Rattus norvegicus: one gene and its partner. The protein of the gene in region 1 binds, or shares a complex with, the protein of each later gene. Links are inferred from orthologs where the notes say so. Each region holds a gene or a part of one and is shown in the gene's direction. Other genes may lie near its edges.

Evidence for each region.
Region 2: the proteins of Rheb (region 1) and Pde6d are in contact, whole or in part, in a crystal structure (PDB 3T5G), measured with the Homo sapiens proteins. The link is inferred for Rattus norvegicus from reciprocal best matches to the Homo sapiens genes RHEB and PDE6D. Residues at the interface, in NP_005605.1 of Homo sapiens: Pro2, Gln3, Ser4, Gln57, Asp77, Gln176, Gly177, Lys178, Ser179, Ser180, Cys181; in NP_002592.1 of Homo sapiens: Ile53, Leu54, Cys56, Val59, Val80, Gln85, Cys86, Leu87, Glu88, Glu89, Trp90, Ile109, Glu110, Ala111, Ala112, Pro113, Gln116, Met117, Met118, Leu123, Tyr149.

What each region holds. Positions count from the first base shown.
Region 1 is NC_086022.1:11,011,737-11,016,339, forward strand, and holds the start of Rheb (GTP-binding protein Rheb), read left to right. Parts: upstream 1-1,646; 5' UTR 1,647-1,769; coding exon 1,770-1,821; intron 1,822-4,603. UniProt on the Homo sapiens protein: Small GTPase that acts as an allosteric activator of the canonical mTORC1 complex, an evolutionarily conserved central nutrient sensor that stimulates anabolic reactions and macromolecule biosynthesis to promote cellular biomass generation and growth.
Region 2 is NC_086027.1:94,640,855-94,644,659, reverse strand, and holds the end of Pde6d (retinal rod rhodopsin-sensitive cGMP 3',5'-cyclic phosphodiesterase subunit delta), read left to right. Parts: intron 1-327; coding exon 328-453; intron 454-1,328; coding exon 1,329-1,434; intron 1,435-3,152; coding exon 3,153-3,234; 3' UTR 3,235-3,728; downstream 3,729-3,805. UniProt on the Homo sapiens protein: Promotes the release of prenylated target proteins from cellular membranes. Modulates the activity of prenylated or palmitoylated Ras family members by regulating their subcellular location.

The sequences.
Region 1 (4,603 bases):
CATATCAAGTGCATTTACTGCCTAATGCAACTTGTTGACCGCACCCCCCTTAAGGTAACCCTGTGTTACATTCACCAGGAAATTTAGTGCTTTGGTCTCAAGAACACTGGTGGATTTATCTGCTGAATATACATTTACCTGAGTCTGTTTTAAAATACTTAATATAGTTCTAAGGGGAAGGCTCAGTTGCCTGAGTACTTCCCTAACGTTCATCCTGGGTTCAATTCCTAGCACTGAATAAACATGGTTTGGAAGCCGGAAATCAGAGCACTTGGGCAAAGACAGAATTGAAAGATCAAGGGTAGCAGGGCAGCATTTAATCCCAGCACTTTGGAGGCAGAGGCAGGTGGATCTCTTAAGAATTCCAGGCCAGCCTGGACTACATGAGACCTTATAAAAACAGGTCTATTGTGAAGGACAAGAAATTAAGGACAAGCGTGCTGTTCACGCTCTTGGCACCTTTATTTCCAGGCCTAGCTTGGGCTTTCATGAACTAGACCTAGGGACTAGTTTTTCTTCCTGTTCTTCAATATGAGGACATCCCAATCCTCTAGTTCTCCGGAAACAAGGGCTCTGTGCCAGTACGCCTGTTGCAGAAAATATGACAGCCTTCCCTTTTCAGGCATGGCCCGCCCACACCAGACAGCGAAGCCGCCTGCTTTTCCTCAGCGTTCTTGACAATGGCTGACTTTCACGTTTCTCCAGAAATAACATCTCGACTGTTATGTATGAAAAGACGCGCTGATCTGGCTGCAGGATACCCACGAGTGCGCCTTTCTATGCGAGGTGCGCGCTGCCCAGCGTGTTGCCCGAGTCCGCACTAGGACTGGCCAGCTCGCGCTGCTTTTAGTGGAATCTCTGACATTTGCGTTCTGCACAGATTCCATTCTTCCCACAGTTCCTCAGCCACGAATAAAGCTTAGTCACCACCCACACTAAGCCCAGACTAAAGCTAACATAGCAGGACGGTAATTTAAAGTATAGACAAGAACGAAGAGAGGTGACAGCCAACCTACAGCCCGTCAGCTAGGGCCACGCGCCTCACGCCTTTTAAGGGCCGGCAGGCGCAAGTCGGCCAACGGCTCGTCACTTCACCAATGACCGCGCTTCTCGCCTATGGTTCCGCCCCCGCACGCCATATCAGCCAATCACTGGGGAGTTGTCCGCCCGCCCACTCGCCCGTAGGGCCACGCTTTTGGATCACGCAGGCGCCCCGCGTAGCAAAAGCAGCCAGGTTGTATTTTTAGCTCCCGGTTGAACAGTGTCTCTCCTTGGCTCCACCCCCTCCTAATCCCCAATAGAAGATGGAGTTTCCATTGCGTCATCGCGCGGCAGTCTGGAAGCCGTCCAGTCAGAGCTCGGGAAAGACTGTCGTAATTAAAAAGCGGCGGAAGTAGGTGGGAGGGTCATGACGCAGCGAGTTTTGGTCGTGACTTTTCCGGGGGCCTTCGGGCGTCTCCGCTTTTTCCCTTTAAAGTAAAACGTTCCCCCGACGCACCCCCGCGCGTTCCGGGCTGGGAGGCGGTGGCGGGAGGCGGCGCAGACGCGGCCGCGCGCGGTCACGTGGGTGTGTTGTTGGGGGAGGGCCCGCGCGTTCGGTTCCGGGCGGTTGAGCGAGCTAGAGAACGAGCGAGCAAGAGGCAGCCGCGCCCGCCGCCGCGCTCTGTATGCCGCGTTCCCCCGGCGCACCCGCCGCCGATAGTCTGAGCCGGAGGAGTCGCCGCCGCTGCGGTTGATGTGGTTGGGCCGGGGCTGACCAGGCTACCAAGATGCCTCAGTCCAAGTCCCGGAAGATCGCCATCCTGGGCTATCGGTCTGTGGGTGAGTGGCGGCCCCGGTGATGCCGGGGTCTGATCCCCAGGACGTGGACGCGCCTGCGAAGTTTGTGGCGGCGCGGCCATGTGGCGGGCGGGCGGGCGGGCGGGCGGCGCGCGTTTCATAACCTCCATTTTGAGTGGAGGCGGCGGCGCCTTCCCCTGTACCCGGGCGCGACGGACAGGTGGCGGGGCCGCAGGCCGAGGCGACTGAGTTCTTCTCTAGGCGTAGGAGCTGCGGACCACTGCACCGGTCCTGCGGCCCGGAGCAGTCTAGTCGGATCCCCGTGTCTGTCCCGCCTTCTCTGAGCACGGTCTATCCCCACCCGTTTCCCCAATCCCACAAGCCCCGGGCATTTCAACAAAGGAAACCTCTCCCTGTGACCTTTCCATCTGTAAAGAAATTAAACCTTTTAAAAGAAAACGGAGAAACTTCCAAGATGTTTGGCCACCAAGTTTTCCGCCTCCAAGAAACCTAGACTGGACCCCTCATAGGCCCGCTAGGTAGCAGCTGGCGGCCAGCACAGGGAAGGCGAGAAAGACATCTCCGAACTCTCGGTGTCCTATTTTCTCCCCCTTTGAGAAGAAACAAGGCCAGGCTCTTTGAACCAGGCTGTTAAAGTAATTCAAAAGCCCTTTTGTTTTCCCAACACCACCACCAAGCGATTGACATACATTTGAAGCTGCTCCTAGTAGTCATCTTTTTGCCGAATAGAGGTGGGCCTGGGTGGAGTGGGGAAGGTACAAGGTGTCGAGACAGTAGTATTCAGTCTCTTATGTGAAACAGGACGTATGAACTTGACCACGTTGCAGGGCGAGGCTTTATTGTCTTTGACCGGAACCCGAGAACATCATGTTCATCTTTAAGTGCTGTTTGAAAGCCGTAACTGTCTCCGAAAAATGTATGCTTGACAGGGACAACTGACATGTGGTGAAGTGAGTGGGAGGTGGGGAGTTTGGTTGCCGAAGGAGGTGGCCAGTAGAAAGCCTGCCCCTGAACGGACTCCTGTAGGCTTTTCATTCTGCGTTCTCACCCGGCTTTCCACTGCTGGTGTCTGGGTCTGTGCTCTTTGACCAACATCAGTCTGGGCCTGCTTACTCATCCTTTCACTATCTTTCCTCAAGGTCTGGAGAAACCCCTTAGGAAGGAGTTGGAAGATTGGAGACAGTATGAGAGTTGAAGGTGCCTAGAGTGGAAAGGTGCTAAGTGAGGTGTTTATCTTAGGAAAGAGTAGGTGACTGCTTTAACAGTTGCAACCCTAGAGTTAACATCCACAAAATTACGGTTTCAGTGTCTCTAAGAGACCATGTACTAAACACCACTATGGAGCTCCTGGTTGAGGTAACCGATGCTGGTTGTCTGGATCACCATACTGTTGACTGTTTCTTAATTTCCCCCCAATTCGGAGAATGAGACCACGATGTAACTTGGCTGTTGATTGAGTACCCTCTAATTAGATAAATATACAGAGTGTTAACTAATTGAAGATGGTAATCTTGAATGTGCAAGGCATATCAATCCGTGAGAATATTCTACAGGTCTGGATTTTATTTTCTTGTAATTTTTGGAATGGCACTGGATTTAAATAAGTTTGGTGTTATGTCTCCTTGGCTATAGAACTTCTGTCAGTAGAAACCCATCCTGATTTTTTAGGCAAGGTCTTATGTAACCCAGGTAGTCCTGGACTCACTGTATAGCCTAGACTGGTCTTCCTGTGAAAGCCCCACTAGAGCAGGGATAGGTGTGCCTGGCTACTCCTATACTTCTCCCCACAAAGGTTCACTCTAGGCTGCTGGTTGGAAGTGTGGTGCTAGCTGGTGGAGGAGCACAGGATTGTAGGCCTATTTTCAATGCCCCCAATGTGTCACACAGCCTGTTTTCTCCATAGTTGTTTGCAAGGGTAATGCCTAAAGTAAGATACTACGTTACTCCTAATGTTTCCTTTGACTTTAGTTTGCTTTCCTATGAACAGAAATATTTTATAGTTTCAGGATTCTTTGCAGAGGAGTGGGTTGGTCTTTTGCCAGCATGATTGCATGCACTAGCCGCTCTGCCAGGATTACCCACTTCTCAGAACCTAAGAGATATGTTCAGTGCCCTAGTATAGAAATGTCAGTGTTTCTAGGGTGTGTGTGTGTGTGTGTGTGTGTGTGTGTGTGTGTGTGAGAGAGAGAGAGAGAGAGAGAGAGAGAGAGAGAGAGAGAGAGATTGATTCAAAACCATGCCTTTTTATACTGTTCTTTTGAGTAAATGGTTTTCTGCTTTGACTATACTGCTGGGCATTGTTACTGGACGTGCCACAGACTTTTAAGTTTGCTTCAGTAAGCACTGAAATGTGGCTTTCAAGTCTTCATTTGTTTTTTTTTTTTGTTGTTGTTGTTGTTTTTGTTTTGTTTTTGTTTTTTGTTTTTTTTGGTTCTTTTTTTTCGGAGCTGGGGACCGAACCCGGGGCCTTGCGCTTCCTAGGCAAGCGCTCTACCACTGAGCTAAATCCCCAACCCCTTCATTTGTTTTTGAAACATTGATAAACCTATGAAAAGGGTTTAAAATGGGACAGTAAAATTCTCTTCTGTGGTATTTTCCTGGTATTTGCAGTAGGGAAGATTTTTGCAGACATGTCACCTCAATGTCACCTGTAATTAGTCTGGCTTTTATGGAGGTCCTTTTGTTCATTTTGGTGGTGGTCATATGTAGCAGCTTCCTCATGGTAACATGGTTGTTACTGTAGCTGAGGAGTCCTTAGTAGTGAGGACTCCTCCAGTCAAAATTGTCAAAATCTGGTAGTCCC
Region 2 (3,805 bases), on another chromosome or scaffold:
GAAGCGGCTAGGTGAGGCCTGTAGAGACAGCAGATCTGATGCTCCTTGACAACAAGTCATGTACGTTGACCAATTAGAGCTCTCTGCCGTCAGCTGGAACGTAATGCAGTTACCAAGGCATCTAATGAAACCTAATTATTGAGACAAATTCTCTAAGGCAGCTGAAGGAATTCCCAGGATCCTGATGTGTTAATATTCATGGTTCTCATTTAGAAAGATACCAATCTCACTCTCTCCCCGACCTCCTCTCTCTCCCCGACCTCCTCTCCCCCGATATCTCTCTCTCTCTCTCTCTCTCTCTCTCTCTCTCTCTCTCTCTCTCCCCAGCCCGTGTGCCCAAGAAAATTCTCAAGTGCAAGGCAGTGTCTCGAGAACTGAATTTTTCTTCAGCAGAGCAAATGGAAAAATTCCGCCTTGAACAAAAAGTTTTTTTCAAAGGACAATGCCTAGAAGGTATTCTATTCCTCGAGTGCCTGGAGCCGGAGTGCAGGAGGGGGGTAGGAGTAGGGGGGGGGGGCAACAGGCAGGGCAGTGCTCTGAGAACACTGACCTTATTACTAATAGAAGGTCTACAACACTGGGGAACCCCAGTGAAAACGAACCAAAACAAACTGGACACAATGGGGGCTTTGAGCTGTCTGACACCAGAAGCTCGAGTGCCCATGCCCGTGCCCGTGCCCGTGCCCGTGCCTAATGTGCTGTTACAATGTGATCTTGGAAGAAGCAATTACAATGAAGTGTAGTATAGGTCATGCCTATACATCAGAAGTCGTTACTGATAAGGACTCTGAATTCGATTCTCAAAATGTAAGAGAACAACATGTAGGCACTGTAGAGCGACCTACCTCTGTTAGTGCAGAGCTTGCTACTCCTAGGAAAATGATGCTTATGTGTCCTCCTCACTGATGCTTATCTATTAGACCCCATAAGAGACAGTCCTGTGTGCCCTAGGTGTAGTGGTGCACGCCTTTAATCCCAACACTCAGGAGGTAGAAGGAGGTGGATCTCTGTGAGTTTGAGGCCACCCTGGTCCACAAGTGAGTACCAGGACAGCCAGGGCTACACAGAGAAACCCTGTAGAAAGGAAGGAAGGAAGGAAGGAAGGAAGGAAGGAAGGAAGGAAGGAAGGAAGGAAGCCATTCTGTGGCACAAATCAGAAGATAGGCTGTGAATGTCCTGTGTCCTTTTGTGTGCCTTAGGAGCTATCTGATAGGTTCCTGTCATGGTCTGGACAGGAAGAGCCCACATTAATGGAGAGAGACACAGCCTGGGGTTCCCCCGTGCCCACAGATAGCGCCTGCTCACTGGCTTTTCCTTCTTCCCTTCAGAGTGGTTCTTCGAGTTTGGCTTTGTGATCCCTAACTCCACAAACACCTGGCAGTCCTTGATAGAAGCAGCGCCTGAGTCCCAGATGATGCCCGCCAGCGTCCTGACGTGAGTGAGGCCCAGGAGATTTCAAAGTGTATCCCAGAACAGCCTTTAGACAGCAGGGACTCCAGGTCCCACTCGCAGGCAGAGCTGGGAAGAAAGATGAGTAAAAGAGCACCCAGTGGTGTGTCAAGGTCGCTGGCTTCTGTCCTGTGAAAAGTAACGGCCTCAAAAACTGTAGGCCACATTTTAAATTTCCAGGTCACTCTGACTACTTGTCTCCTTGGACAATAATGTCTTATCTTGCCTTGCCTTACTTTCATGGGTATAATGAAGGTGAAAAATGAGACAGTGTGGAAGGGAACTGGCACAAAATAAACAATAACCCACAAAGGGATTAGGTGTGGCCACAATATTCCACTTTATAAGTGGAAGCACTGGGTTGGGGATTTGGCTCAGTGGTAGAGCGCTGGCCTAGCAAGCGCAAGGCCCTGGGTTCGGTCCCCAGCTCTGAAAAAAAAAAAAAAAAATAAGTGGAAGCACTGCTCTGCCATTTATGGCTCAGTGGGAGTGTTCTTGCCTGGCATGCACAGGGCCTACGCTCAGTTTCTGGCACAGCCAGAAAAAGAAAAAGGAAACAGAATGGGCCACTGAGATAACCATATAACCAGAAAAGTAAACCCCGTCCTCACTGTACAGGTGCCTCATTTAAGGCTCTTTGGTTTCAAACAACAGAATCAAATCCTCGGGAATAGAACTATTAGACTAAGCAGAGACCCAAGCAGCTTGGAATGGACAAGGGCAAGAATCCATTATGCCTTCCTCAAGGAGTAACTGAGGAGAGATGTTGGGGGTGTGGGGGTGTGGATCTGATTAGCATGACTAGAATGCTGTGACACCTCACATCTCAGCAGGGTTGTGGGTAGTCACTCAGCTGACCCAGGCACTAGAAGAGAGACTGTTCACAAAGGAAGAGCAGGGTGCCACTACCCAAAATCAGGAGAGTACTGCAGGGCAGGCCACACCCAACTTACTCAGTGTTGTAGGAAAGGCTGCCTTCCTGAGGTCAGCCCAGGATCTGCAGCCATCCATTAGGAAGCAAGCCAGAGGTGTCCATGAGATCTGTAAGCAGAGCACGCCGCAGACATTAGTGCGCCGAGACAAAAGGCACGTTCTTATTTCTGACTTTCTCCATTAGGAGAACAAACAGGAGTTTAACACTGCAAGACTCTAACTCAGATAGACGATACTTTAATTGTATTTGCCTTGCTTTGGTTCTCTTTTTTTTTTTTTTTTTCTTTTTTTCGGAACTGGGGACCGAACCCAGGGCCTTGCGATTGCTAAGCAAGTGCTCTACCACTGAGCTAAATCCCCAACCCCCTGGTTCTCTTTTGAGACAGGGTCTCACTTTGCAGCCCTGGCTGGCCTGGAACTTACCATATAGACCAGGTTGGCCTGGGATCACAGAGATTCGCTTGCCTCTTCCTCTCTAGTGCTGGGACTAACGGTGTGCACCACTGTGCCTGACGTTTGTTCCCCTTGTGAGATAGAACTCACTGTATAGCACAGAGTAACCTTGAACTCAGACCCTCCTGCCTTGGCCTTGGGGAGGGTTATGTGTGTACACCACCACACCTGGTTCTGGACAAGGCCTGTAATGGCCCAAGCTGAGGTTCTAGGTGGACATGTGCCCAGCCCAAAGCACCCAAATGGACACTGACTGTGGACAGGGGGCCTTGGCCTGTGGCACTCACTTTCTTTACCCTCTCGCTTCTCTCCCCCAGGGGCAACGTCATCATAGAGACAAAGTTCTTTGACGATGATCTTCTTGTCAGCACATCCAAAGTGAGGCTTTTCTACGTTTGAGAGAACTTGTGTGCACTTCCAAGAATCTGGAACAGGGGCAGGAGGAAGCTGTACTTGTTCCTCTGCACATTTGATTTTGATACTCCAGCTGATTCCTTCAACACAGAACCCACCTGTGGCACCAGGAAGCCAGCTCTGAAAGGCGGCCAGTCGGCTTTTCTCCCAAACCTCCATCGTCACTGACAAGACTAAACTCCCAACCCCAGCCAAGGGCAGGGAATAAGCCTCAACTCCTTCCTGGTGCAAACATGGGAACAAACCCCGTACTCGGAGCCACACTGCGCCTGTCACCTGCCCTGCCTCCTCCCTTGGGCCCTATAGGCTTTCTTTGGCCTCTGGTTTTGAAAAAAATTTACCTTTCTGACCCATTTAGTTTTTTTCCTACCACTTCTATTTCATACATTCTCATACCTTTAACTTGTAAAATAGACTATGATATTATTATTACATAATGTAATGAAAGCATTAAACTATTCCTACAGTCTTTAGCATGCCACTGTTTCCAACGCTCCTTTTTGTCTGGACTATGAATCTATCTTCATGAAGGAAGATATTAGTCTCTCACGTCATT